Mus musculus: one gene and its partners. The protein of the gene in region 4 interacts with the protein of the main gene of each other region in a pairwise test. Links are inferred from orthologs where the notes say so. Each region holds a gene or a part of one and is shown on either strand. Other genes may lie near its edges. The genes, in order: Ilf2, Klhl18, Ech1, Eef1g and Get4.

Region 1 (5,746 bases), on a different chromosome or scaffold from region 4:
AGAAAGAGGCAAAACACCAATGTATATAAAAGTATATCATTTTAAAATAATGAAAATAATAATAATAGAGGCTGGAGGGATGACTTAGCAGTTAAAAGCACTGGCTGTTCTTAAAGGGCCCAGGTTCAGTTCCCAGCACCCACATGGGTCTCACAACCACCAGTTAACTACAGTTCCAAGGAATCTAACTCCCTCTTCAGCTTCCTCTGGTACTAGGCATGTGTGTGGTACACATACATGCAGACACACACACATAAATCTTTAGAATTAAAAAAACAAAACAAAAAAAAAACGGGCCAGAGAGATGGCTCAGCAGTTAAGAGCACTGACTGCTCTTCCAGAGAACCTGAGTTTAATTCCCAGCAACCACATGGTGGCTCACAACTATCTGTAATCGGATCTGATGCCCTCTTCTGGTGTGTCTGAAGAGAGCAATGATGTACTCATATATATATATATATTTTTTTTTTTGGTTTTTCGAGACAGGGTTTCTCTGTATAGCCCTGACTGTCCAGGAACTCACTCTGTAAACCAGGCTGGCCTCGAATTCAGAAATCCACCTGCCTCTGCCTCCCAAGTGCCAGGATTTTAGCCAGGGCGTGTGCCACCACACCCAGCTAAAATAAATATATCTTAAAAAACAAAAAACTAGAAAAGTCTACATTTAATTTTATTTTCCCCAGGGACCATTTCAAAGCCAGTACACCTTACAACACTTGTTTTCACCTCCTTCAGATGTTCAAGTCCAAATGCAAACCTTGTTTTTCTGTTATTTCTTTTGAGACGGGTCTTATATAAAATCACAGGCTGACCTGAACTTGCTATGTAGCTGAGGATGACTGTAATCTTATCTTCCTGTGTCTTCCTCCTTTGTACTTAGATTATTAGTGCGTACCCTCATACTGATATATGAAATGCTCTGGGCTCTGTGCATGCCAGTCAAGCACTCTACCAACTGAGCTACAACAGCAGCCTGAGTACTCATTACCTTTATATAAAAAGAAATAAAGGCCCGGCAGTGATGACCCTCATCTTTAATCCCAGCTCTCAGGAGGCAAAGGCAGGCAGATCTCTGTACATTATAGGCCACCCAAGGCTGTACAATGAAACCCTATTTACACACACACACACACACACACACACACACAAACAGAAATTACCCAGAGGCCAGAGAGATAACTCAGCAGGTGAAGAGTATTTGCTACTCTTGCAGAGGAACCAGATTTGATCCCTAGCATACCCAAGGCAGCTCACAACCTCTGACAAGTCACCTCTTCTAGCCTCCAAAGGCACCAAGCACACATATGGTAAATATTTATATAGGCAAGTACTTTATACATACACATGAAATTTTTTAAAAAAGCAAGCCAGGTGGCAGACACAAGTGGGTTTCTGAGTTCCAGGACAGCTAGGGCTACACAGAAAAACCCTATCTAAAAATCCAAATATAAATGAAGAAAGAAAGGAACTGATTATAACCCATCCGCCATGTAATATAGTACACACTTTTAGAACTGTGGAGGCAGAGACAGGCAGATCTCTGATTTCCAGGCCAGCCAAGGTTATAGATACAGACACTGTCTCAAAATAAATAAGTCCTAAAAATTATTTTTTAAAAAGACATTTTTTAGACAAATATTACAATGAAACTGTAAAGGAATTATTTTTCCTACCTTGCTGACTCTGTTTTCTATGTTTTGTTTTTGTTGAGACAGTTCACTCTAGTAACCCAGGCTGACTTTGAACTCTGAACATGGTCCTACTGCTCAGGCTTCCATTTCTGGGATTACAAAAGGATTACAGTCTCTTTAAAGACTGACTGGTGAACTGGCTTGTTTTTTTAAATATTTATTTATGTGTATGTGTGAGTGCCACAGTGAATGCATATGCATCCTGTGTGCATGAGCCTGTGGAAATCAACAGGGACATAAGATCCTTGGAAATTAGAATTACAGACAGATGTGCACCGTTATGCAAGAACTGGAAAAAATTTGTAGCCTCCACTAGAGCCATGTTATACCTGTAGCTATACCTATAAGTAGATAGTGACATATAATAAATACAATAATAAAATAAAATTAGGTGTTAGGGATATAGATCTAACATGTTCAAGGTCCTGGGTTCAAATCTCTAGCACTCATACTAAGTAAATAAAAATTTACACCAGATGTGGGAATGCATGACTGTAATTCCAACATTCAGGAGGTTGAGGGAGGAAGATGGTGAATTTGCAGTCAACTCAGTAAGTATTCATAGAGTTCCAGGCCAGCCAATCATACAGAAGACCCTCACTCAAACAAAGAAAAGATCCACTCTTGAATCCTACTCCAAACAGTATCTGACTCCATTAACAAGGGGGCTCCATTTCTACACCTATAAGTGAACAGGAAAGTCCTCCAAAGCCAAAATACTCACCAAATAAAAATCAAATGGGATATGGGGCACAAAAGGCCTGAACCTGAAACATGAAAACAACCCAAAGTTATTCAAGCAGAAAGCACAAGAGAGGTACACAATGCACCAACCAATTCTGTCTTAAGAATTGGAAAAGTTTCTGAGCTGTATCATTCTTAGCAAAAGGTCAAATCCACTTAGTAGGACATCAGGAAAAGAAATGCTTTTCGTGACTTTCATGAAATGAAATAGAACAATCTACTCCAAACCCCTTTCTACTGAAACAAACCAAGGCAAAGATGCAAACAGCCACACTCACCCTCCACCAGGCCCTCCTCTGGAACCAAAGCGCCCACCACGACCACGTCCTCTGTCACCCCTAAAAATACATACATTTTACTCTCAATTCGCTGAAAAAGGTCTCCATCACACCATCAATGTTATTTCAATTTGACTTACCTTGACCGCCTCGAACTACAGAAGTGGATAGATATTTCATGCTCTCTTCTCCCAGATTCCAAATGGTGCCCAATGACATCCTAATTCTGGACTTTTCCTTTTTCTTGTTTTTGAGACGGAATCTCATGTATCTCCTGCCTTACCTCCCAAGTGCTGTGAGTGCAGCTTTCGACACCACACCCCACTTCTAATTCAGGATTTTATCAAAACTCACATCAGGAAAATACGAGTTTCAGAACCTGATATACATACCCCTACTAAGGTAACCTACGATCGTGAGGCACACCAGTCCTAATATGCACAGTAAAGTGACTTATCATTTATTAATACAGCATTAACAGTTACGAGGCATGTACTATTGGTCAAACACTAGGTACCAGAAAATTGCGCAACGCTCCAGCCTACTTATTGCGCACGGAGGGAGATCTTCCTGGGCCGTTAAGACCTCTCCTCCATCCCCTCCCGGCCCCCGAGACCCAGGTATCAACACAACTCCCCCTGCTGGGCCCCGACCCCCTCCGGGCCCGATTCCCGGAGTCCGCCAGCCTCCTCCTGCTCCACTCCCCCGCGGTCAGGCTTTCCGCCGGCCGCCCAGATGCAGGCCCTTGTTCCTCCGACTCCATTTCAGCCAGGCCCCCGAGACTTCGGCTGGAACTTTCAAGCACCTCTGTCCACTTACCTCATGGCTCGCTTAATCCTGAACAATGGAGGCCACACAACCGCTCTTCGCTGGGAAGAACTAGGCTGGCTGAGAAACGTCTGGCCGGCGTGTCCCAACAAACGCCTGCGCGATAGGCTCCCGCCTCACTCCGTCCCGCGCGTTTATTGGTTAACGCAGCAACCAATGAAAAATGCCCTGTAAAGGAGCCAGCCAATAAGAAGACATAACAGGGATGAAGGCAATTTTCCCCACTGACAGCGGAGGGCGTTCAGAAGTTGAGGCGGTGAATGGTAAGCTCTTCTATGGAAAAGAAGAGAATGCTACCAGTGGGTAGCAGAGTGGCGCAGCGGAAGCGTGCTGGGCCCATAACCCAGAGGTCGATGGATCGAAACCATCCTCTGCTATCGGAGGCTTTGTTTTTAAAATTTTGACAATCTAATTAAATTTTCCTTTCCATAACAAGAAATACAATTCTTTTTTCTTCTCCAACTTTTTTTTTTTTTTTTTTTTTTTAGATAGCGTCTTTTTCGGTCATCCTGACTTACATAATACTCGTTAGTGTAGCCCGAGCTGTCATCAAACTCAGCAATCTCCAGCGTGTGCCGCCTCACCTGAAAACATAACTTTTACCTTATGGAAATATGAGAAATAACTTAATTCCACTTACCACCACTATTCCCTCGATAGCATTACTATTATATGATTCTTTTTATTGAAAAAAATTCATACAATATATCTTTTTTTTTTTTTTTTTTTTTTTTTTTTTTTGGTTTTTCCGAGACAGAGTTTCTCTGTGTAGCCCTGGCTGTCCTGGAACTCACTTTGTAGACCAGGCTGGCCTCGAACTCAGAAATCCGCCTGCCTCTGCCTCCCGAGTGCTGGGTCATACAATATATCTTGATCACATATTTCTCTTCCCCAGTTCCACCAGCTCCTCCCCACTTCGCTATGTTAGGTGATTCTGACAAGTATTGGTGTATTACTTACTTTCGTAGGCATATATTCCTTTCAAGTAACCTAACTGCACCTTCATTAAAATAGGGAATACTTTATCGTGTTAGCAAGGTGAGTCAGCAGGTATAATCGCGACAACCTGAGTTCAACCTCTGAGACCCACAGTGGTGGAAGGAGAGCAGCGATTTCTGCATTTTGTTCTCCGACCTCACTATAAAGGTTGTGGGTGTGGTGACACCCATAAACACAACATAAATATAACAGAATTAAAAAAAAAAAAAAGAACGCTATTTTGGCAAACATGGTGGAGCATGCCTTTAATTATAGCACCTGAGAGGCAGCAGCTGGAGGATCTGAGAGTTCAAGGTCAAACTATTCTATGTAGCCAGTCCATGCCAGGTAAGTCTACATAGGAGATCCTGCCTCACAAAAAGTCTTTCATCATCTCAGAAAGGTAACCATATTGGATTTCTACCATCATGGGTTAAGTTTGCCTTTAGATTTTCTTTTCTTTCCTTTCCTTTTTTCTTTTCTTTTTTTTTTTTTAAGATTGATTGATTGATTATGTATACAGTATTTTGCCTGCATGTATGTTTGCAGGCCTGGAGAGGGCATCAGATATATGGTCCTGAGCCACCATGTGGTTGCTGGGAATTGAACTCAGGACCTCTGGAAGAGCAGTCAGTGCTCTTAACTTCTGAGCCATCTCTCCAGCCCTAGGTTTTCTTTTAATTGGGAGTGGCTCAGAAAAGGCTCAGCAGTCAAGAGCACGCACTGTTCTTTCAGGACTAAAGTTCGGCCAATCTCTTCTGCCCTCTAGCACATTGTACGCATAAGCATGTATACATATACACACATAACTTAACATAAAATACATCTTTAAACCCAACCTTGTGGTGCAGGCCTTTAATCCCAGCACTGGGGAGGTACAGGCAGGCAGATCTCTGAATTGGAGGCTGGCCTTTGATCTACAGAACAAGTTCCAGGACAGCCAGGGCTGCATAGAGAAACCCTATCTCAATAATAATTAAAATAATAATAATAATAATAATAATAATAATAGTTTATTTACTTAGGGACTAGAGAGATGGCCCAGCGGTTAAGAACACTTGTTATTTTACTCTTGCAGAGGACCAAGAAGTGTCAGTTCCCTTCACCCACATGGTGGCTCACAATTGTCTGTACTCCAGTTCCAGGGGGTCAAACATAGTTCTCTGACATCCACAGGCATCAGGTACGCACATGGTGCACAGACATATATGCAAGCAAAGCATTCAT
Region 2 (5,536 bases), on a different chromosome or scaffold from region 4:
CCCTACAACTTCCAACGCGCGCGTGCACATGCAGCCCCCCCATCCGACCTTTCCAGGGTCCTCCGGATGCTCATGCCGCCGAGCATCCCTGGAGTCATGCGCAGTTGGCAACAAGCCTTTCCGAGGGTCTATACTCCTCTCGGGAGCCCACTAGCCAACAGTGCCGCGGAAGGAAGCACATGCCATTTCGCACTTACTGAGGTACTGCTTGCTACCGTTCTTATGCCGCTTCATTTATGTGGGCTTCAGCTCCCAAGTCAAATTACAAGCTGCTTGAGGATAAGGGTCGTGCCGTTTACCTCTTGTGATGCCCCCCACAAGGTCCAGAACAGCGCCCAGCACACACCAGGTGCTCAAGAAATGGTAGTTGATGGTGATACTCATGGCTGGAAGTCAGAGGGTGACTGAATCTCCATAGGTGGGTCCACCATCTTCAGCCACTACTGAGAGAGTGCCAAGGTATGTGATATGTCACTCCCCTCCCACACTACTCTAATCCCTGAACTTGCAGCGTTCTGGGGAGGATACTTCATTTCCCAGTACAAGAAGCCATGCTCAGTCTCAAGATACCCTCCCATTAGGTAGTGTTTTTTCCCCCTCAGGATGGAATACTCCCAGAAATCTGAACACAGTCCTTACATACTTCACATAATAAAGTGACTCTGACGAGCCACCAGGAGACCTCTGTGCTGAGAGAGTCAGTGTTTCTCCATTTGTTTTGGGCTTGGGAATGAGCAGGATATACATTAACACCCACGAAGGCTTGACAAGAAGTCAATGGGATTACTCATAGGCACTAGGCGTTCATACCTACCATGCTCTTACCTCGATCAGGGATAAAGACTAAGAAACAAACACCCTTTAAACCCACAACACTGGGTCCTACTGCATCTCAGCATGAGATGAACCCAAAGTTTGCACCCAGGCAAAACTGGCCACTCTCCTATTTCTCACCCAGTGTGTGGAATGCTTTTCTAAAATGTGTGTGACAGATTGCCTTGGTCCCATTCCTGTGCCCCTCTAGAGGGTTTTCCTCTTCGGTAGTTAGAAGGCTCTAAGTGATGACACCGTGTCTTAATGATCTCTGACACTCAAACTCACGCCCTCTCCGTCTAAGGCAAGTCGTGGGACCTCAGTGGAGACTCGTGGGACTAAGGAACATCAGAAACTCCTAGCTCCCCTAAGCTGCGACCAGGTTGAAAGGAGCATCTCCAGGGGTGTCTCCGATTTTTTTTTTTTTTTCACAAATAAAAGAACCAAAGGAGTTAGGAACCCAGCCACTGACAGCAGCTGGGAGGATATCCCCACCAGGTTTCCCTTTTACCTAACGCCACCGGCTCGTGACCACTGCTCACCTCGCGGGGCAGTGGCGCTCGGGTAGAGCGACCGCTAGAACTGCAGCAACTTGAGGGAGCTCTGTTCGCAACCAGGACAGCTAGCCGACTGGCTGTGTACACAGTCGCCATGGCAACAGGAAGCCTGCAGGGATTACGGAAGTAGTGTAGGGTGGTGGCGGAATTTAAGCCCACATTTCTCCGTTAAAGATACAGGGAAAGTCAGAGCTGAACAAAGAAGACAGAGATGGAGTCAATTAACCTGGAAGGCTTAGAGTAGCTGTATATGCGAAGCCTGAGTTTGAGTTACGGGGGGAAAAAGGCTATGTATAAACCAGGAAGCGGGGCAGCGAGACTTCCGGTGTCGAGGACTTTGTGGGTACGGTGGCCGCGCAGGCCAGTGAGATTCCGGCTTCGCGTTCTGGGCAGCCTTCAGCGTGAGCCCTTGCCCCGCCCTGGTTAGTGTGAAGCCTGCTGGCCAGGCCTGCGCAGTTGCGGCGGCCGGGGAAGATGGTGGAGGACGGCGCGGAGGAGCTGGAGGACTTGGTGCATTTCTCCGTGTCGGAGTTGCCTAGTCGCGGCTACGGCGTCATGGAGGAGATCCGGCGGCAGGGCAAGCTATGCGACGTGACGCTAAAGGTACCATGGTCTGGGCGGTGGCTGGCTGAGGGGAAAGGGACTGAGCGGGAAGAAAAGGGTGGTGGACAGGGGAAGAGTGGTCCAGCCGACTGTGGGTGGAGAAAGGTTAGAGGGGAACAGAGTAGTAGAGAGCGGTGCCAAGCGCAGAGGGGGAAATGAGGCCAAGTTGGGAGAGTAAAGGGGACAGCCGTTCAGCCATTGGAAGGAAAGATTGAGAGGTGTGCCTCTGACGCCCTAAGAGCAGGAGACATTGGGGTATCCGCCTCCTTTTCTGTCATACAGAAAAGAGAAAATGTTCTTACAGGCAGACCATGGAGGAAGGGGCGGTGGCTGACTCCACATTCCGATGGGTACCACTAAGACATCCTATCTTGTCCTAAAGTCATTTCTTTGGGCTCCTTGAAGTTGGCTGTGCTGTTGTAAATGCTAAGCCTTCTCTTCAGGAGTCATTGCTTGCCCTTGGCGCTTTTAGAATCGGATCTGGAAATCTTTTGATGTGGGCTACTCTCTTCCATGCTGGAAAACAATCTACTGTCACCACCTTAAAAGGTCCTGGAGGCCAGGCTAAAGGACTGTTTGGGGAGAGGGATATTTTTGCCACCTGTTCCCATCCAGCATTCTGGTCTGGTGTCAAGGGCCAGTGCCCCCTGTGCTTTGAGTCGTGCAGGGCTGCACCTTGGTGCCCTGCTGAGCCAGGTAGATCCCTCCAGGTGGGGATACTGCCTGCCTGTGGTTTTTCCTGTTGGACCTTGCCTGGAAGGCTCTTACTGTCTCGGTGTGACACTCCCTCTTCCTGTTTCAAAACAACAGAAAGACACAGACACCTCTTAGACTTTATCTTCTACTGAGTTAAGGAAGCATTGCTTCTCCATGTATTCGAGTCAGACTGGTAGGAATGAATAGGGTGGCTCCTGGGCAGTGGTGGAGCACTCTTTTAATCCCAGCACTTGGGAGGCAGAGGCAAGCAGACCTCATGACCAGCCTGGTCTACAGAGTGAGTTCTAGGACAGCCAGGTCTATGAGAAACCCTGTCTCAAAAAAAAAAAAAAAAAAAAAAAAAGTTGAATGGTTAATGGTTTGGCACTTTAAAAAGCAAAACAAACTGAGGGTGGCTTTGGAGAAAGAACACACTAGCTGTAACCATGGGCACATTACTTAATCTCTTTAAGTTTAAATTTCGAAATGTGAAAATAATTTTTGTTCTTTGTTTTTGGTTTTTCAAGTCAGGATGTGAGCCATCACCACTCAGTTTAAAGATGATTCTTTTTTGTTTGTTTGTGGGGTTTTTTTTTTGTGTTTAATGTTTGTTTGTTTGTTTGTTTGTTTGAGACAGGGTTTCTCTGTGTAGCCCTGGCTGTCCTGGAACTCACTTTGTAGACCAGGCTGGCCTGGAACTAAGAAATCTGCCTACTTCTGCTTCCCAAGTGCTGGGATCAAAGGTGTGCGCCACCATTGTCCGGCTTAAAGACGATTCTTAAATCTCACCATTAGTGAGGATTAGATATTTGGTATTCTTTGTATAGCACCTATGTTAACTTTTTCATCAATCCTGAAAGAAATGGATCTCTAATTAGAGTAGTGAAATGGTCTGAGAAGGGGCAGATCGTCTCAGATAAGATAGGGAAACCAAGAGGATTAAGAAAAAATAAGATGGATTAGAGGAGGCAGAAGATGGCAAGGCCAGTAGAGATTTGGAAGCAGACTGATTTAACTGTGGCACCGACCTTTGGGATGTAGAGGCTGCTGAAAGGCAGTAATAAGAAAGAAGTTTTTCGCTAGGATTTAGGCTGTGTGCTGGTGACAAGCTGAGTGGGGAAAGGGACTCGCTGCCAAGCCTGATGACTTGAGTTGCATCCCTGGGACCCACATAGTGGAAGTGAGAACTGACCCCTGAAAATGGCCCTCTGCCCTCCGTAGGTGTGCTGTGGCACCTGCACGCTCTCTCTCTCTCTCTCTCTCTCTCTCTCTCTCTCTCTCTCTCTCTCTCTCTTTCTCTCTCTCACACACACACAAAGAGACGGCAGAAAAAGAAAAGTGTTTGTTTTTAAAGATTCGGGCTGTAAGAGGTGAGCCAGTAAGGAAAGCTGTGTGGTAGATAGATGGAGTGTGGTCACAGATACTTACTTCCCTAAAGCCATACATTTGCCTCTGCGTTCAACATAAATGCTGAATCTACCAAACTTACAGCAGAAATTGCTTGTATGATTTTTTTTTTCCCCACGAAAATCTTTTCCATTCAGGCAAAGGAACAATTGTATCATTCAAACGTCTTTCCGACTGAGAGTGCAAGTCTCAGTTACTTTGCTTGTGTCAGGTCAGAGTCATAAGGACCTGTGTAAAAGCATAGACCGGAGCTAGACTGTAGACAACATTTATTTCACTGGTTCCAAAACCCCCTTCTATAGAGCCTCAGGAGAATTCTGGTGCTAGGAGCCATCGAAAGGCCTAGTACACCAATGCTACAGTCACTACTCACAAGAGCTTCTCTGCAAAATCTGTCTTGGTTTCTCATAATTTACTCTTTTCTCCACCTTCCCATGAGTCCAGACTGTTTTTCAAATAAGCAGATTCTAAAGAATTGGTTAGCGGTTTAATAACTAGCTCCCCCCCACCCCACCCCACCCCAATTAGAGTAGTTGTTTGCAAACTTCAGCAGATATGAGACTCACCTGGTGGCCTTGTTCGTATCGCTCACCCTGGGATTTCTGATTCATAGGTCTGGCATGAGCCCCGTCGAGTTCACCAGTGATGCTGTCTTCCTCTAGGACTGCATTGTGAGAACCATAGCTATAAAATAAAGGACTTGTCCTCTCAGGATGTATTCAGAGTCAATGAATCTCCTTTGAGGTCAGTAATGCGCTAGTTCCCCAAGCCGGGAGTCAGGGAGCTCAACCTGTTGAGAAGGTAACCACCTGTTTTTTGTTAGGGCAGTGACAGCAGTTGCTTGCCTGGTAGAGAGGACGAGTATTGCCTGTTCTGGGCCCCTCCTGGTGACACACACACAGAGGAGTGGAGTGTTGCTGGTGCTTGGAGTTGGAGGTGGTTCTGCAGGTGCTGACCTCTGGAATGCTCAGAATTCTCCATTGAAGTCAGACATAACTTGTCTGCTTTTCATCTTGTACGCATTTGCTGGCGTTTGTAATCTCTCTGTGCTGGGTTTTTCTTGGGAATGTTGCTGATCTTATGATCTGAGAGGCAATATGGCACAGGCTCTGCCTGGATCTGAATCCTGGCTCTGCCACTTCATAGCTGACAAAACTTAAATTCCTTAAATGCTAGTGAGTCAGTCTATTCCTCTGTGAATGGACATCATTACCCACCTGACTGCTAAGGATTCAATTAGTTAATTAGCTTCAAACTTCATGTAATAAATGCTCAATGAATAGTAGGTATCTGTGTTTTATTGTTTGTTTACTTATTTATTTATTGTGTGTTCTTTTGTTTTTGTTTTTTTTGAGACAGGATTTCTCTGTGTAGTCCTGGCTTTTCTGGAACTCCCTTTGTAGACCAGACTGGTCTTGAAATCAGAGATCTACCTGCCACTGCCTCCTAAGTGCTGGCAT
Region 3 (5,656 bases), on a different chromosome or scaffold from region 4:
GTGTTTGAAGCCAGCCTGGTCTACAGAGCAAGTTCCAGGACAGCTAGGGCTACACAGAGAAACCCAGGCTTGAAAATCCAATAATAATAATAATAATAATAATAATAATAAAACCACAATCCTGAGGCTGGAGAGATGGCTCAGCAGTTAAGAGCACTGGTGGCTCTTTCAGGGGATCTGGGTTCAAATTCCAGCACCGACTGCCTGTAACTCCAGTTCCAGGGGATCTGACACACACACATAGACATACATTCAGTCAACTCACCAATGTACATAAAATAAAAATAAATAAATTATTAAAAAGAAAGAAAGAAAGGAAGTAAGAAAGGAGGAGAGAGAGAAGAAGAAGAAGAAGAAGGAAGGAAGACAAACAGACACAGGACAACCTTGGGCTGGTGCCTTTATCCATGTGTACACACACGTAAATGTACTCACACATATGTGCAAAAATATAAGACAAAATAGAATAAACAAGAGGCAGGCTGGACAGCAGGTCAAGGCAGGAGGATCTAGAAAGTCACTGAGGCCTCATCACAAAGAACCAACTAGAAATCTGAAGACTGCAAACAAAACACCTGAAGCAAAAATGATCACCGGGTGGGAGCTGGAGACATGGCTCGGGGGTAAGAGCACCAGCTGCTCTTCCAGAGGACCCGGGTTCAATTCCTAGCACCCACATGGCAGCTCACAACTGTCTCTAACTCCAGTTCCAGGCTATCTGACACCCTCACACAGGCACATAAAACACCAATGCACATAAAATAAAATTAAAAAAAAAATCATTGGGTGGGTTTCACAGCAGAACAGAAAATTGGGAAACAAGCCATGCTAAAGTGGAGAAGGGGTCAGGGGTCAGAGAGGAGAAAGGGTAGTGGAGTAACTTCCGTGCGTGTGTGTGTGTGTGTGTGTGTGTGTGTGTGTGCACGTGGGGGGGGGGGGGCAGGGGTAGGCAGAAGTCACTGCATGTAACACCCTTGGCTAGACACCCCTGTAGGTTTTGAAAGGTCCAGAGCCTCATTCAAGGTTACAGATCTACTGCGGTTAATCCAACTTCAGGATCCTAGCAGGTTCTGTTGAGCTAATTTCTATGCTTGAATTTGTGGTAGGGAGGGAATTCTGGGCTTTGAGCCAACTCCTGAGTACACACACCCACACACGGGTGAATGTTTTAAATTAGACTGAAAAAAAAAAAAAAAGAAAAAAAAAAAAAGCTGGGCATGGTGGTGCAAGCTGTTAAATCCCAGTGCCCAGGAGGCAGAGGCAGACAGATCTCTGTGTTCCAGGCCAGCCTGAACTTGGTCTACAGATCAAGTTCCGAGATAGCCAAGGCTACACAGAGAAACCCTGTCTCAGAAAACCAACCAAACAAAAACCCACTGAGGACTAATGGCGTAGCTCAACAGTTAAGAACCTATATACTTTTTAAAAAAGATTTATTTATTATTATATCTAAGTACACTGTAGCTGTCTTCAGATGCACCAGAAGAAGGCATGAGATTTCATTACAGATGGTTGTGAGCCAACACTGTCAAATTGATCACACCCAACCTGTTAGTCCAGCCCTAGGGGGATTTTTTTTTTTTTTTTTTTTTAAAGATTTATTTATTTATTATATGTAAGTACACTGTAGCTGTCTTCAGACACACCAGAAGAGGGCATCAGATCTTGTTACAGATGGTTGTGAGCCACCATGTGGTTGCTGGGATTTGAACTCCGGACCTTTGGAAGAGCAGTCGGGTGCTCTTACCCACTGAGCCATCTCACCAGCCCTAGGGGGATCTTATGTTACATATTATTATATAATCATAAGTCTTTAAAAAATAAATAAATAAAAATAAAAACTTTCATTGAGAACCACTATGGAGCCAGCAAGATGGCTCAGCAGGAAAAGGAGTTTGAAGGCTTGCAGGCGAGCAGGACCAGCATCCAGGTCCACTTGATCATGGGGAAGGATAGAACCAGCTTCCAAAAGCCGTCATCTAACTTTTGCACACGTGTGCATGCACGCGCACACAAAAATAAAAGTAACTTTTTCTTTTTGGTTTTTCTAGACAGGATTCCTCCGTGCAGCCCTGGCTGTCCTAGATCTGGCTCTGTCATCCAGGATGGCCGTGAACTCCCAGAGAGCCACTGGCCTCTGCCACTCCAGTGCTGGGACTAAGGGCACATGCCACCGGCCCAGTATTTTTGTTTCCTTCTAGAAACAAAAGGAGGCCAAAGCATTGAGTCATGTTTACAATCCCAGCATCAACATTTAGGAAGCTGAGGCAGGAGGATTACTTCAACTTCTAGAGTAGCCTAGTCTAAATAGAGAGTTCCAGGCCAGCCAGGGGAGGGAAAAAAAAAAAGAGTAAGTGACAAAATCAGCAAAGAAAACTGCTAGCATGGCTGCCCCAGCAGGGGGAGAGGCGCCAGCAGGCAGACAAGTACCTGAAGTGAACATCTTTCCTGCACCGGAGACTACAACAGCCCGGCAGTCCGAGTCTTTGGATATCTTTTGGAAGCATTCCACCAACTCCCTGCAGAGGCATAAGAAGTAAAGGGTTATATCTGGAGTGGGAAGCCCCTGTCCCTGCCCACCTCTGTCTCCTCTAGCAGATAGGCTTGTGGGCTTGCAGGCCAGACCTCCAGAAAGCCCTGTTCATGGCATTCCTCTTCTCTGGCCGGTTTAGCTGCACGTGGAGAACATGCTTCTGGGCACTTGTGACTTGAATAGACTCATAGTTGTGGTCTGAGACTTCCTCGGGGGCTCTCTTGGAGGCCTCTTGTGCAGAGGAGCTCAGAGATCGAAGGCTGATGTTGAAGTACAGCTGGCTGGTACCTCTCAGCTCTGGGGAGACAAGGAAGAGACTTTGAGAGCCTAGAATGGGGACATTTTAACAGTATATGCTCTTTAGGGGCGCTGGCATGACCAGACATAACTTTTAAGATTAGGGTATGCAAGCCAGGAGGTGGTTGGGAGGCAGCATTTGGAAGGCAGAAGCAGTCCGATCTCAGATCGAGGCCAGCCTAGTCTGCAGAGAGTTCCAGGATAGCCAGGCCTACACAGAGAAATCCTGTCTCGAAAAACCAAGTTTCAGTCTGAGACTACATTAGACCCTTGTTTGTGGAAATGACCCAAGATTGGGGACAAAGAATTCAGGTTGAAAGACAGACCTAAAAAATTATAATTTCATTTTAAATTACAAAAGGACTCCTGAGTTTAAAGCGACCCAGGCAGACTTCCCGTCTTATCGCCGCTATAACAAGACGACACAAAAACGAGCCCCCACGGATTAAGGGGTAACTCACGCTGCATCAGCAGGCCGCGGAGTTTACTGGAAACTGTCATCGCGGTAGCCATTTCTGGAGCTCCGGAGCTGTGCGACTTACTCCCGAAGAAAAACTTAGGGGGCGGGCACGAACGTTCGCCATGTTGGTCAAGGGCACCGAAGCCACCGCGGCCACCGCCCTTTAGCAGCGAGGTCCCACCTAGTTCGCCATCTTTACTAAGGGCAAACGAAAAAAAAAAGCACTCCTTCGTGTCTCATGTGTTTGGGACGTTGCTTAAACCTTTGGCCCAGTGGGACGCTGGCCTGAGAAAATATTTCACAGTGCTGTTGGAAAATTGTGTATAAAGTTCATCACAACGCTGTGTTGGAACAAAATGCAGACAACTGAAATAGTCAAGGACAGAAGGGCAGCAGTTTAGTTGCTAGGATACCGGCTGGCCAGAATTAAGCAGTTTTTATTCCCTTACCGCCAGAAGTTGGCTCCTGGACCAGGGAAGTTATACGGATTCAAGGTTACTGGACATTTAGAAGTGCGTAGGCAGGAGTAAATGGCTCTAACGCCACCCTCCTTTGTTTTGTGGTGCGAGGGGACTGAGGCAACATAGGCAAACATTTAACACCGAACATATCCCCAGGCTCTTCTCCCTGATTTATGTAAGGTCTATATAAAACCCCAGGCTTGCCTGTAACTTCAAGTATCCTCCACCTTTTGCCTCCTGAGAAGGGATCATCCTACACCCAGCCCCCGCAACAAAGACTCTGAAAAGAACCCAAGGAAGTTCAATGTGGTGCCTCATACCTTCAATCCTAGCACTCAAGAGACAGGGGCAGGGAAAGAAAAAAAAAAAAAAAAAAAAAAAAGGGAAAAAATCCGGGCAGGGTGGCGCATGCCTTTACTCCCAGCACTGGGGAGGCAGAGGCAGGCGGATTTCTGAGTTCCAGGACAGCCTGGTCTACAAAGTGAGTTCCAGGACAGCCAGGGCTACACAGAGAAACCCTGTCTCGAAAAACCAAAAAGACAGAGACAGAGACAGGGGCAGGTGGCAGATCTCTGCGAGTTCAAGACAAGCCTCTTCTACATAGCAAGTTCCATTACTATAGAGACCCTGTCTAAATAAATATAATAATATGCTGTTTGTTTCTAGACAATTTCTGTGTAGCTCTGGCTATCATGGAACTCTGTGAACCAGGCTGGCCTCGAATTTATAGAGATCTGTCACCTTCTACCTCCCCAGTGCTGGTATTCAAGGCATGTGCTACCACTACCACCTGGCAAAGGCTATATTTTCAAAACAGACATACCAAAAAAAAAAAAAAAAAAAAGCCTGAGAAAGTATTACCCAAGAGCATAAAATACCGTCTAAGTGTGCTCCTTAGGGAGATGTTTGCCAAGAGGGTGAACAGATGTCTCTGGGCCAGTGGGACAGTAGGGGATGTCTGCTACCCAGACTTACAGCTGAGGTAGGCAGTCCCCACCCCACCCCACCCACACAAGGGACAGATGTAGCAACTACCAGGAGTAATGTTTTATCCTCCTTTTGTTGGAAAATCCTATGCAGATACTAAAATGTGAGCAGAAAGGACACCCTAGTTTCAGCTAAGAAATTAGGAAGTTGTTGCCTCTTATCAACAAAAAGAAACCCTGGAACAAATGGCTGTGGTGCTCTTGGCAAACCAAAGCACCTGCAGGCTCAGTCTACACCCCTGTGGCTCCACTCTGCTCACCCTGCCCCCTACCCTAAACTCAAGCTCCTGGGCGTCCCTTCCAGCTTCATTCCCATCTAACTCAGCCACTTTGGCCATGTTTGCTCTTTGCCCTCTCTCCTCTTGGTCCAACCCCTTTTGTGACTCCCTACTGGGCATGTTCAGTCTACTACCTTCTTTCCCTGCTCTGGACCCTTCCAGATGCCTCTGGCTGTACCCACTTCTATCTTCAAAACCTCAACCGTAGCTTGGAGTGGTCATGTCATCTCATTCAGTAATGTGCATCATTTAACTGGTATAAAAAAGTAATTGTGGATGATACACGTGGAGTGTTTATACATTTACAGGTCTAATTGCCAACAGAAAATGAACTGGATAGTAGATAAAACTCTTTGAATCTCCCCGATTGTTTTACAGCAAACTAGGGTGCAGTTAGTACTTTCCATGTGATACTGTGACTCCAGATGCTGAAACGCCAGTCTGGCTCTCCAGGACGTTGCCACCACTGTCACTAGTGTGGCCTGCTCCCACTCTCCAGGACATCAGTTTTTAACCTGTGTTCCTCCTAGGCCTTGTTTCTACTGAAGCCATCTCCGGAGGTTTCCATCTAAATCCCAGGACTATCCACCACGGACTTAACAGTTTGCATCCTTCAACCCCACTTGTAAACTCTGCCTCAG
Region 4 (5,655 bases):
CGTATCTTGCTTGGATCTTTCTGGCTCCCTGCTGTCCCTGCGGGAAGGTCGGCCATTGATGGTGGCAGAGGGCCTGCCTTCTGATCTCTGGGAAGGGCTGCGCCTTGGCCCCATGAATCTCCAGGACCCCTTTGACCTGAGTCACAATGTTGCAGCCAATGTGACCGGCCGGGTGGCTAAACGTCTGCAGAGCTGTTGTGGGGCAGCAGCCAGTTACTGCCGAAGTCTCCAGTACCAGCAGCGTTCCTCCCGGGGCCGGGACTGGGGACTGCTCCCGCTTTTGCAGCCCAGCTCCCCTAGCTCCCTGCTGTCTGCCAAGCTCATCCCCTTACCCTCTGCCCCCTTTCCACAGGTCATTATGGCTTTGGTGGATGTGTTAAGGGAAGCACTAGGATGCCACATAGAACAGGGAACCAAGAGACGACGGTCAGAAGGTGCCAGAATTAAAGACTCTCCCTTGGGAGGGGTGAACAAAAGACAGAGACTTGGTGGGCAAGAAAAGAGCTTCGAGGAAGGGAAAGAGGAGCCACAGGGATGTGCAGGGGACCACAGTGAAAATGAGGTAGAAGAAATGGTAATAGAGGTTCGAGAGACACCTCAGGACTGGGCCTTGTTGCACTCGGGACCACCAGAGGAGGAGTTGCCCCTGATGACTGCAAACTGTCTAGACAAGGCAGCTGAGCATAATCCCATGAAACCTGAAGTGGCTGGAGAAGGGTCTCAGGGTGAGACAGGGAAGGAGGCATCACACCCATCATCAGTGAGCTGGCGCTGTGCCTTGTGGCACCAAGTATGGCAGGGGAGGCGGCGTGCCCGGAGACGATTACAGCAACAAACCAAGGAAGAAGGTAGAGGAGGTCCCACCACAGGAGCAGAGTGGCTGGCAATGGAAGCTCGTGTGACCCAGGAACTAAAAGGACCCAATAGTGAGCAAGAGAGGCCGCCGGGGGAGCCCCTCCTCAGCTTTGTGGCATCTGCCTCCCAGGCTGAGCAGACACTCACTGTGGCCCCACTCCAGGACTCCCAAGGCCTGTTCCCTGGTCTTCATCATTTTCTACAGGGTTTTATCCCTCAAGCACTTAAAAATCTCCTCAAGTGAGGAACCAAACCTCAAAAACAATAAAGCTGCTAGTTTATTTCATACAGACATTTAATGTTCTTTTGCATACTCCCTCATAAGACCATTACGAGGTCTTTGTTTTCCTCCTGGTAACGCCTTTTTTCTTTGCCTCAATGTAGCTTCTGGCCTGACTACTCTAAAACAGTCCTATGACTTCCACTTCAGAGCTCTCCTTCCCACTTGCCAGCACTTTCCTAGGGAGTGCCACCTCCACGAGGCAAAGGCACTGATTTCTGAGAACAACCTTTGCCCACACGAGACTTGTCCTGCTGCTCCAGGTGATGGGAACCACAAATTTGGGTTTAGGGTTTGTCTTTTCTATCCTTTAACGTGAAAGAGAGTTCAAATTGCCCATAAGCTGGAGTCAAGATTTATTTTCAAATTTGGATATGTGTAAACTATTGTATCAGAACTGGGCTGCCTTACCCGACCCTCTGGGGCGCAGCCAAGCCTGAGTGGTGCTGGTGACGTGGCAAGTTGGTCCGTGCTGCTTTGTTGTGTAAGTTTTAACAGCACGGAGTTTAATCGGAGCAGACCTACTTTCAGATGTTTTCGGCCGTGGGCCCCAGCTGAACAGACAGACCCTTTACAGAAAAAACCCGAACAGGAACAAAAGGAATTCAGTAAATTGCCACCCCTTCCTTAAGGCAGTTCCTGTAGTTTGTCACGGGTTCCAGATACCAGCCTTCGAGGGGCGGTGCTTCCGCCGGGTTCTCACACTTTTCCCCTCCCTGGGTGAGCTCCGTCTCCTATCAGGCTTCCGATTGGTCGGCGACGCGGGCGGGGCAGGATCGTCCAGAGTTATACTACGCAGGCGCCCGCTCTCTGCGCTCCAGGCTGCGGGCCCCACCCCTCGCTTTTTCCAACTCAGCGGGGCTGTAGACGGAACTGTCGTGCGTATGCCTTTTATGCCGTCCTCGCTTTCCGGCCGCTGTTTCCACACTGCTCTCTCCTTTCCTCCTCCCTTGTCTCCTTTGCGGCTTACTTTGCGGCAGCACCGACAGCCCCACCCCCTTTCTCTGCGGAATCACCATGGCGGCTGGGGTAAGTTTGCCGGCTCCGGTGATTAGGGTCACCCTATCCACCGCCATCCTTTGCCTGAGTGGGGCCAGTCGGCGCCAGGGGAGTTTCAGACCCAAGCCGCGAGCCGATCTGGGGTTCACAAGCCGTACGGTCGGAGAGCATGGTTTCTAGGGCCTGGAGGGGAACTGAGGCTGGGGCTCAGAGGCTAGAGGTGGAACGTTCTGGGGTTGAGGAGAAAAAAGATGCTGGGTCTCCATTGTCTGGACCTTTAAAAAGTGTTTAACCTCACTGCCATTTTGAGGTGTGGCGTCTGAGCAGGTTGGTGGAACTTTTGCCACCGTTTTGTGGGACAACAACGAGGACGTGGAAAGGAGAGGGTCTTTGTGGGAAGGGGCGACTGGCACGTTGGGAGTTGACCTTCGGGGAGGTTTGGGAGCCAGAGGAATAAAGGGGGGGTGAAGTGAGCCCATATGGACCCTGCTGGTGAGATTTTAGTAGGGAGACAACTGGGAACTCACTGCAGGACAGGACCAGAGGGTTGCTAATTCGCCATGTGCAAAGAAAGGCATTTCAGGAAGAATAACTGATGAACATTAGAATTCAGCGTGTCGATTCTGAGGGGAACTTTGAAATCCCTTGGTCTGTGTGTGTGCTTTTGAAGTGATAGCAGCCTGGAAGTAGTTAGACTCCGGGTCACCGCCAATGAATGAAACAAGGGTTCTGGGAGAGATGGGTGTGAGTGTTCGTGTGTTTAGGCAGATGGGACCAGAAGTTTTGAAGGGAAGAATGCCTCTAGAGATGTCCTTAAGAGAGGTCACATCTGTCGGTAAGCTTTATTTAGCAGCTGGGATGTTCTTCTTGGTATTTCAGAGGACTCTGATTACATGGGGCATACTCGGTTCACTAGGAGTGAATCTAAGCTGTGCACATTGGAATTGCATGGAAGTGTGCGTGGGGAGTGGCATTCAGGGTTCCTTGCCTCTAGTCCATCCTTCACCCTTTCTCTTGTAGACCCTGTACACATACCCTGAAAATTGGAGGGCCTTCAAGGCCCTCATCGCTGCTCAGTACAGCGGGGCTCAGGTCCGCGTGCTCTCCGCACCACCCCACTTCCACTTTGGCCAAACCAACCGCACCCCTGAATTTCTCCGAAAATTTCCTGCCGGCAAGGTGAGTGGGGAAGCATCTGGGATCTCTAGAATTCCATTATTCTGGAGATGGCCCCCATGGTGTGTGTGTGTGTGTATTTATTTATATATATATTTTTTTAAAGAAATTTTAAGGGGCTAGGAATGTAACCTATTAAAGCCTCTGAACTTGACTGCCCAAAGGAAAAAAATAATTTTGAAAGCTCCCGGAGACCGAGGCAGGGAGATTGTGTGAAGCAAGCCTATAAGTATAGTAAGATCCTGTCTCCATTGTAATTATGAAGTTCCATTGTATTCACAGCTGTTCAGTGACTGTCAGGAGTTCCAGGCCTGGTTTATATTTGTAGGATAAAATGTATTTTCACCAGGTGTTATCTGTATGTATGTACTAAGTATGTCTTGAGAGTTGGATTCTTACCCCATAGAGCATGAGTAGAGCTAAATATCCAAATCTAAATATAGAGGCAAATGCTAAGTCTGGATGGCACCTAATGATTTGGGCAGTGAAGCTGTGGGATTGTTGGGTGGCATCCATATCTGAATTTGTTTATTTTGAGGTGGGGTCTCAGTAGCTTGCTGGCTGGTTTCAGACAAGGGTATGGGGCACCACACTTTAGCTATGTTTGAATTTCACCCTTGTGAATTCATATCATGAGGGATACTAAGTAATTTTCACTTCTGAGCTTGAGATGTCATGAATTAGCGTAGCAAGAGTTGTCTGTCTTAACATATTATTTAGAACAATTCAGCCTGGAGAATTGGCTACTGAGAAATCTCTGTGTTTATGTTTTCTGCTACTTTCTCCACAGGTTCCAGCATTTGAGGGTGATGATGGATTCTGTGTGTTTGAGAGCAATGCCATTGCCTATTATGGTAATTTGTGGGGATACAGGCGTGAGAGGGTATGGGGGTAAGGCTGTAGAAGCGGCTGTGGCGGACAAGGTGGAATCAGAGACCCGGCTTGGTTTTGGCATGAGGTCAAAGTTCTAAGCTCTATGTCTGCCTTTGCAGTAAGCAATGAGGAGCTGCGAGGAAGTACGCCAGAGGCGGCAGCTCAGGTGGTGCAGTGGGTCAGCTTTGCTGACAGTGACATCGTTCCTCCAGCTAGTACCTGGGTGTTCCCCACCTTGGGCATTATGCACCACAACAAACAGGTACGCTTTGGAACTTGGGGAGAAGCTGGGCCAGAGATAGAGTCAGAGCCTACATTTTGGGACTGGGAGACAGATGAAGGAAAAGATAGCAGGAGTGTGGGGGCAATGCAGACTAAAGTGGCTACCATCAGTATGGTGCAAATAAAGTCATGTTGATCATGAAGATATCTAACACGAGTGATTTCATTTCTGATAAGTTTCAACTGATTCTAGAGTCTAATGATAGAGGGTGGGGGTTGAGTCGATGGCTGGTTAAATGGCTTCTTTAGTTCTGTTGGTGGGGGGATCTGAGGAAAGGGACTTGGTACCCACTAAGCTTGAGTATTCAAAACAACAGGCCACTGAAAATGCGAAAGAGGAGGTGAAGCGAATCCTGGGGCTGCTGGACACTCACTTGAAGACTCGAACTTTTCTAGTGGGCGAGCGAGTGACACTGGCTGATATTACAGTTGTCTGTACCCTGTTGTGGCTCTATAAACAGGTAAGGTTTATATCCCATGTGACAGGGGTTAGACCTGTATTAGGGTAACCCTGTTTTTGCTTAAGACAGACCAGTAGTTAATGATTGTAGGGATCCCAACAGTGAGAACTGTGACTGTTTCCATCTTATTAAAGATGGATAAAGGCTGCGTGTGGTAGCTCATACTTGTGTAATCCCAGCACTTGAGATACTGAGACAGGAGGATCATTCTGGTTTAAGGCCACCCTAGGCTACATAGTGATATCAAAAATAGAAAGCAAAAATCAAAGATGTAAGAGACAGGGATAGTGACTGCAGCAGCGAGAGCTTTTGGAGGCAGATTCAGGTCTCTGTCTTAACTTCAGTGTTTAAAGATGCAGTGGTATAAGAATTCTCATAGTTATTTATCTGTGATAAGTCCAAGGTGGTATTCAGCTTATGTCTACATGTATTTGCATATGTGTGTGCATGCATGCAGATCCCAAGGAGCTTGAGTTACAGATGGCTGTGAGCTACTATGTGTGTGCTAGGAATCAAACCAGGTAGCCATCCCCAGCTGCCCCCAACCCCCATGTTTGTTTTTTTTTTTTTTTTTAATATTGTGTTGCTGATTTCTAGGCGGCAGCAGCTCTGGACCCATTCTGGTTCAGAATTACAGTCCAGTGAGAACAAAAAAAAATGCCATTGTTTGCCAGACTGGTGTGCCTCACAGGGTTCATTATAATCCTTCCATGGCCACAACACACAGCA
Region 5 (5,785 bases), on a different chromosome or scaffold from region 4:
AAGCCACACAGATGGAGAGCCCCTTGATCTCTGCACAGACCCCAAAGTGAAAAGAGCTGTGCTGAACAATAGACAAACTGCCCGGGGATAGAGAGGGAGTCAGGGGTCACAACCATGGGCATTTTCAGCATCCCCAAAGTAAAAACCGTATGAAGATATTCACTGTAAATACATAAACACCACTTATCCAGTCAAAGAAGATAAAAAGCCAGGGCTGGTGATTTGACACAGCTTAGTAGGTAAGGGTGGCTGTCACCAAGACAGTCTGATGAATAGAGTCAATCCAAAATGACAGAAGAAAAGTGGCTCCTGCAAGCTGTCCTGACTGCCGTGAGCGAGTACTATGCTGTCCAGCAGTCCTGCCCATGGACCGACCCTGAGTCTAGGTGGCGCTCTATAGGCACTCCTGGGGCCTACAGTGTTGAGAGAAGCTGAGGTCTACTTGAGTTCTGTAACAAGTACTGGGCCCTGGTGGAATGCTGTGTCCCTGGAGCACACTGCACCCCAGTCCTCTTGCTGGTCAGTTCTTTGTATGCCGATAACACGTGGCTTCAAACAGTTACAAGGAGGAACTTGCCCATCACCATCCCTAGTCCACCGTGACCAAGGGAACTCTTCTAGTCACACAACACCAACAAGAACATCCTCAGTCACAGCAGGGTTGACTCAAAACAAGGACACGCTTACTCTCCGGATCTCACTTTTGTTGATTAAATAAAACAATGAGTGGGGGCAGTAGGGGCGCAAGCCTTTACTCTAGTGTCAGGGAGGCGAAAGCAGGTAAACCTGAATTTGAGGCCAGGATGGTTTGCAGAGTGAGTTCCAGTAAAATAAAACAAAAATGTAAGACACCAGGGTGTACCCTGAGTGCTGCAGAAGTATACACAGTGACTGGCCTGCTACACAGAGTAACCCCTGTAATCCAGGGGTTAGCTCTGTCTAATCCTTTGTTTCTTCACTCAAAAATTGCTTGGGCCAATTGGCTGATCCTATTCAGTGATAGACAGCTCAACTCAGAGGAAAAACCAACCATTCAGCAGGCCTGATGACACAGGCTTGACATCCTAGCTACTTAGGAAGCTCAACCTGTATGATCAAGAATTTAGGTCTGCCTGAGTCAGACCTGAAGGCACACCACCTCAAAATTTTAAGTGGAAAAAAACAAAAGGGAGTGTAGCGTGTGAGATGTCCTGGGCTCTATTCCCAACAGGACAAAACAAAACCAAAAACCAGTTACTTTATCAATCATTATGTAGTTGTTTCTACATGTAAAAATTAACTTTATTTTTTAAAGACAGGGTTTCTCTGCCTTGGCTGTCCTGGACCTCACTTTGTAGAACAGGCTGCCCTCCAACTCACAAGAGATCGGCTTGCCTTTGCCTCTTGAGTGTTGGGATTAAAGGTGTGTGCCACCACACGTGGCTACAGATTTTTATCTAAAGAATACAGCAAGTGCCTTCCCAATATAATTAATATAATTAAGAGTGTTTTAGTTTTTGTTTTTAAAGGCACTAGGGACACTGTGATGAAACTAGATGTCGCCAGACTGGTTTGTATTTATAGTGTCTAGTTTACAGAAAAATTCCCCAACAAGGCTGCCCTTCAGGTAACCTGTGATTAGAGCAAGGGCTAATGTTTCGATAAGCTGACTAAACCCCGCTGCTCCAAATCCAGGGCGCCCAATAGGTAAAGAAAACAGGAAGTCTTTGACACCAAGGACGCCAAGGCTCATCCCACACCTGCCAACCCCCTGGACTGAGCACTTACGGAGGGAAATACTGCAAGGCTGGTCCCTGATGGCTTGCTAACTACTGCGTGTGGCCTTAACCATGCCCCTCCCTCCCATGTCCACCTGGCTACTTGCCAGGCTCAATCTGGGCATGTGGGAAGTGGGAATTGTCCTCAGATGTAAACAAGTATCACTCACGAGCCAGAGGGTTCCCAGAGCACTGATTCTTCAGCCCCCAACAGGGCTTCAAGGCAGTGAGGCCACTGTGTACAGTGTCATCCACTGTCATGGCAGCTTTATCCAGCCCACAGAACACACCGTGCTCAGATCAAGCTAGAGGGAGTGACTGTAGGAGGAGTTCCACAGCACGTGGGCCCTAGGTGACAGTAATGGGTGGATGATAATGTGCAACTGGTACAAGATAACCACTTTCCACTCCTTTTACTGAAGGCCTAAAATTGCCCTAAAACAAAACGTATTTTAAAACGAAAAGTAGGTCTAAGGGGCACAGGGGCCAAACCCACACTACGGACATGGAGCAGAAATGCTGATGTCCTGTAGTCAGGAATAAAGTTCTACGTAGGAATTATCAGCTGGCAGATGCACAGAGGCAGGAATACAGATGGCCACAGGCTGGCCCACGGTGTCAGCATCTGACCACACTTTAGCCGGCTGTGCAATTCCAATCACTGGCCACAGAAGGGAGGACTAGGTGAGACTACTCTGACAACAGGACTCGCCAACCAGCGGAAGCCTTCAGAGAAAGGGAGGCCAGGCGAGGAAGAGGGTGTGATAGAGAAGGAGTGGCGGGAAGAGAGGCCTGTAAGAGGGAGGAGGCCTAAGTGAAGAGGAGAGAGGCTAGTGATAAAACTGAGTCCAGGGAAGGGGAGGCCTGAGAAGAAGTTGGCTGGGGAAGGAGGCCTGGGAAAAGGAAGGAAGGAAGGACGGGGGAAGGGCAGCTCTGAGAGTAAGGCAGGGACTCAGAAAGACGAGGCCGAGAGAGGAGGAGGGGGAACCAGGCAGAGAAGAGGAGGCCCTGCCGAGTAGTACAAGCCCGCCGCCCCCGCTCTGCTCCGCGACAGGCAGCCGCATAAACCAATGAGGGTGCGGGGCGCCGCAGCGCAGCCAATGAGCAACAGCGGAGGTGGGGCCTCGGCGCTAAGCCGCCACCCGCGCCCACCTGAAGAAGAGGGTCCGGTACATCTGGTGCGCCTCGTAGTAGTCGCCCTTCTCGACGCTAGCACGCAGCTTGCCCTCCACGCGCTGGACGCCGCCGCGGTTGCGGGCGCCGTTGCGGGCGCCCTCCTGCTCTGCCATCGCCGCCGCCGCCGCCATGGGCCGGCGTTCCGCGCAGAGCTGACGCTGTCGCAGGCGCGGTCGGCGGCGCCTCCCGGCTTCCGTCCCTGCGGCCGCCGCACTCCTTCTACGGTGGCCGCGAGGAGCCGTGCGAGGGCGGGCGCGCCGCGGGCCGCACGTGATCGAGGCGGAGCCTGCCGGGATCGCGGGAGCCGCGCGAGGACACGCCCCTGAGGGGGGGTCTGAGAAGGACCCTGAGAACACAGGCCAGGAAAAGCCGACGGGGTGGGGCTCTCAGACTATCGCGGGAACTTGTTTGTAGTCTTGCGAGAGTGGGCGGGACCGAGGTCTTGGGCGGGACTACACGCTGAGCTGTCCCCAGCTTAGTGTCATCACTGCACAATGTAATCAGCCACGTAGGCTGCGCAAGTAAACTGAGGCAGAAGACTCAGCGATGAGGCGTCTTATTCGCGCGCCCCCTGAAGTTACCCTTAGCGCATGGATGAACCAGACACATTTTAGAAGCTTTGACCTGTCTCACACCTGCCCGGGGAGTGCCCCTCCAGGTGGCAGTCATCCTTAGTGACATCTGGGACAGGGCAGTATGCTCAGGCTAGAACCTGTAATGTCTCCAAGAAGACCTGGCTGTGGTTGGAGCAGGTGACAGCAGAGAAGGGAGGAAGGTCATGATTAATTGGGGGAGGATGGGAGGTGCTGGCCAGGGTCAGAGTTGTCCTCTGACAGCATCCAAAACTCAGGTTACAAAACCCTACACATATCCTTAAATAATGAGTTTGGATGCTGGAGATGAAGTTCAGGGCGTTCATTTCTGTCAGCTACACACTCTCAGCCTTCCATTTACTCTGGCCCTTGAACTTGTGACTCTCCTGCCTCAACTTACCTACTTTTTATGCCTGCACCCGGGCCAGCTGGACTAGCATTTTCTGCACCACACCCATGTGCAAGCAGAAAGCATGGTAACAGATTAAGGAGTCTGTAAACATGATCTCTTGCTGTGGGGTCCGCTTAAATCCAACCTAAAACCAACATAACTCAAGACACCAGGTCAACGCAGGTAATCAAGCCGCTATTGGTCAGGGCCGCAGAGCAGATGAAGCTGAAGTAAAACCCTGAGGGAATACTGTACAGCCTAAAGGATGAAAATATAGAGAAAGGGGGAGGTGGGTGGGCAGGCTGTAGCACTGTCTAATCATAATCCGTCGTAAGGGGTTGGACAAGGGCGTTCCCACTGTATCAGGATAGGTTGGTTCCTAGGCCTGGAAACATAAACATTAGTTTGACCCTGCCAGCAAGATGAAGTTGTCCTCGAGATGTCTGGACTCAAGACAACTATTTCCTTACAACAGAAGCTGTTCAAAGTAAGCTATTGGGAAGTCCCTAGCTCCCCTAGGGCCTGGGAGCTTGGTTTCTTGATATGATTAAATGGAGCCTGAAAACAAGATGGTAGTACTTAGAATAAATGTCTTTTGCTGGTTCCCAACACTCTGACAGTACCGTGCTCACCCTTCTGTGAAGAGGGATGATGCTCTGTGGGCACTACCACATAAGGAAGGACCACTTGGATACAGCATTCTACCTGATGATCCAGACACCTAGTAACAAAGGGGCAAGTGATTCATGCTGCATGAGTGTCCGACCAGGGGATGACTTGTCTGGATGGGACAGTGTAGTACAGTTTGTCATAAATTCTTTTTGGAACTTTTTCCCCTCCTAGATAGGGCCTATTATATTGCTCTGTTTGAGTGTTCTGCAACTTGCTATGTAGAACAGTCTAGTCTTGAACTTACAGTGGTCCACCTGCCTTTGCCTCCTGAGTGCTGGGATTAAAGGTGAGCACTACCCTCCTGGCTGGAATTCTCTCAAGATGTTTAGCAGGTCCTCAAGAGAGCAAAGCCCTAGTAACAGGCTTCTCTTTAAAACAGAAACAGCTAGGGGCTGGAAAGATGGCTCAGTGGTTAAGAGCACCTACTGCTCTCCCAGAGGTCTTGAGTCCAATTCCCAGCAACCACATGGTGACTCACAACTTTCTGTAATGGGATCTGATGCCCTCTTTTGGTGTGTCTAAAGACAGCTACAGTGTACTCATATACATAAAATTAATCTTTAAAAAGAGAGAGAGAGAAAGAGACAGAGAAACAGCTGCATGGTGTGGGCTCAGCACTCAGGCAGAGGCAAGCAGATTGGACGTCGAGTCCAGCCTGGTCTACAGAGTGAGTTCTAAGATATAAGAGCCAGGGTTAAACAGAGAAACCTTGTCTTAGGGTGAGAGGGAAAAAAAGTAAAGGAAAGCCTATGAACTGAGGATGCTTAAATCAACGTGACACTTCTGTATACATGGTAGGAACCAGAGCTGTTAAAAGGTATGAAAAATGCTCCAAAAATATATTCGGCAGGCTGTAGTAGAAAGGTGCTCTGGCTCTGGAAGCTGAGCTCAGGGCCTTGTGACCACATCCAGACCCAAAGCCTCTGGGCCCACTTCCTTTGAGCCTGACTGGAATGTCTCTGAGCGGATTCCTCTAAGCAGGAAGAGGCTGGCGGAGGCTTGAGTGACAGTGGCAGTGCCTGCAGGACTTAGCAGGAACTCTTCAAGCACACAACCTAGCAATCCCTCCCATTCACATGGGCAGAGATAAGACAAGCCAAGAAAAGAAATACACACTTTTATTAATCACTTGAAATCGCACATGCACTTTTAAAAATTAACTCTTTTATTTAAACATCTCAATAGCATCTTAATTT

Evidence for each region.
Region 1: the proteins of Eef1g (region 4) and Ilf2 interact in a two-hybrid assay, tested with the Homo sapiens proteins (2 studies listed by BioGRID and IntAct). The two-hybrid records come from large-scale screens. The link is inferred for Mus musculus from reciprocal best matches to the Homo sapiens genes EEF1G and ILF2.
Region 2: the proteins of Eef1g (region 4) and Klhl18 interact in binary tests that used the Homo sapiens proteins (3 or more experiments, as listed by UniProt). The two-hybrid records come from large-scale screens. The link is inferred for Mus musculus from reciprocal best matches to the Homo sapiens genes EEF1G and KLHL18.
Region 3: the proteins of Eef1g (region 4) and Ech1 interact in a two-hybrid assay, tested with the Homo sapiens proteins (2 studies listed by BioGRID and IntAct). The link is inferred for Mus musculus from reciprocal best matches to the Homo sapiens genes EEF1G and ECH1.
Region 5: the proteins of Eef1g (region 4) and Get4 interact in a two-hybrid assay, tested with the Homo sapiens proteins (2 studies listed by BioGRID and IntAct, with this or other methods). The link is inferred for Mus musculus from reciprocal best matches to the Homo sapiens genes EEF1G and GET4.

Annotation. Positions count from the first base shown.
Region 1 is NC_000069.6:90,474,032-90,479,777, reverse strand, and holds the start of Ilf2 (interleukin enhancer-binding factor 2), read right to left. Parts: upstream 3,578-5,746; 5' UTR 3,538-3,577; coding exon 3,533-3,537; intron 2,774-3,532; coding exon 2,714-2,773; intron 2,459-2,713; coding exon 2,416-2,458; intron 1-2,415. UniProt on the Homo sapiens protein: Chromatin-interacting protein that forms a stable heterodimer with interleukin enhancer-binding factor 3/ILF3 and plays a role in several biological processes including transcription, innate immunity or cell growth.
Region 2 is NC_000075.6:110,472,903-110,478,438, reverse strand, and holds the start of Klhl18 (kelch-like protein 18), read left to right. Parts: upstream 1-1,744; 5' UTR 1,745-1,844; coding exon 1,845-1,973; intron 1,974-5,536. Other genes in the region: kinesin-like protein KIF9, read right to left, coding at 1,325-1,466. UniProt on the Homo sapiens protein: Substrate-specific adapter of a BCR (BTB-CUL3-RBX1) E3 ubiquitin-protein ligase complex required for mitotic progression and cytokinesis.
Region 3 is NC_000073.6:28,823,048-28,828,703, reverse strand, and holds the start of Ech1 (delta(3,5)-Delta(2,4)-dienoyl-CoA isomerase, mitochondrial precursor), read right to left. Parts: upstream 3,367-5,656; 5' UTR 3,344-3,366; coding exon 3,292-3,343; intron 2,831-3,291; coding exon 2,626-2,830; intron 2,520-2,625; coding exon 2,431-2,519; intron 1-2,430. UniProt on the Homo sapiens protein: Isomerization of 3-trans,5-cis-dienoyl-CoA to 2-trans,4-trans-dienoyl-CoA.
Region 4 is NC_000085.6:8,965,062-8,970,716, forward strand, and holds the start of Eef1g (elongation factor 1-gamma), read left to right. Parts: upstream 1-1,979; 5' UTR 1,980-2,152; coding exon 2,153-2,164; intron 2,165-3,154; coding exon 3,155-3,313; intron 3,314-4,100; coding exon 4,101-4,164; intron 4,165-4,302; coding exon 4,303-4,445; intron 4,446-4,782; coding exon 4,783-4,926; intron 4,927-5,655. Other genes in the region: Tut1 (speckle targeted PIP5K1A-regulated poly(A) polymerase), read left to right, coding at 1-1,099. UniProt on the Homo sapiens protein: Probably plays a role in anchoring the complex to other cellular components.
Region 5 is NC_000071.6:139,249,744-139,255,528, reverse strand, and holds the start of Get4 (Golgi to ER traffic protein 4 homolog), read right to left. Parts: upstream 3,206-5,785; 5' UTR 3,065-3,205; coding exon 2,910-3,064; intron 2,033-2,909; exon of another isoform or gene 1,928-2,032; intron 1-1,927. UniProt on the Homo sapiens protein: As part of a cytosolic protein quality control complex, the BAG6/BAT3 complex, maintains misfolded and hydrophobic patches-containing proteins in a soluble state and participates in their proper delivery to the endoplasmic reticulum or alternatively can promote their sorting to the proteasome where they undergo degradation.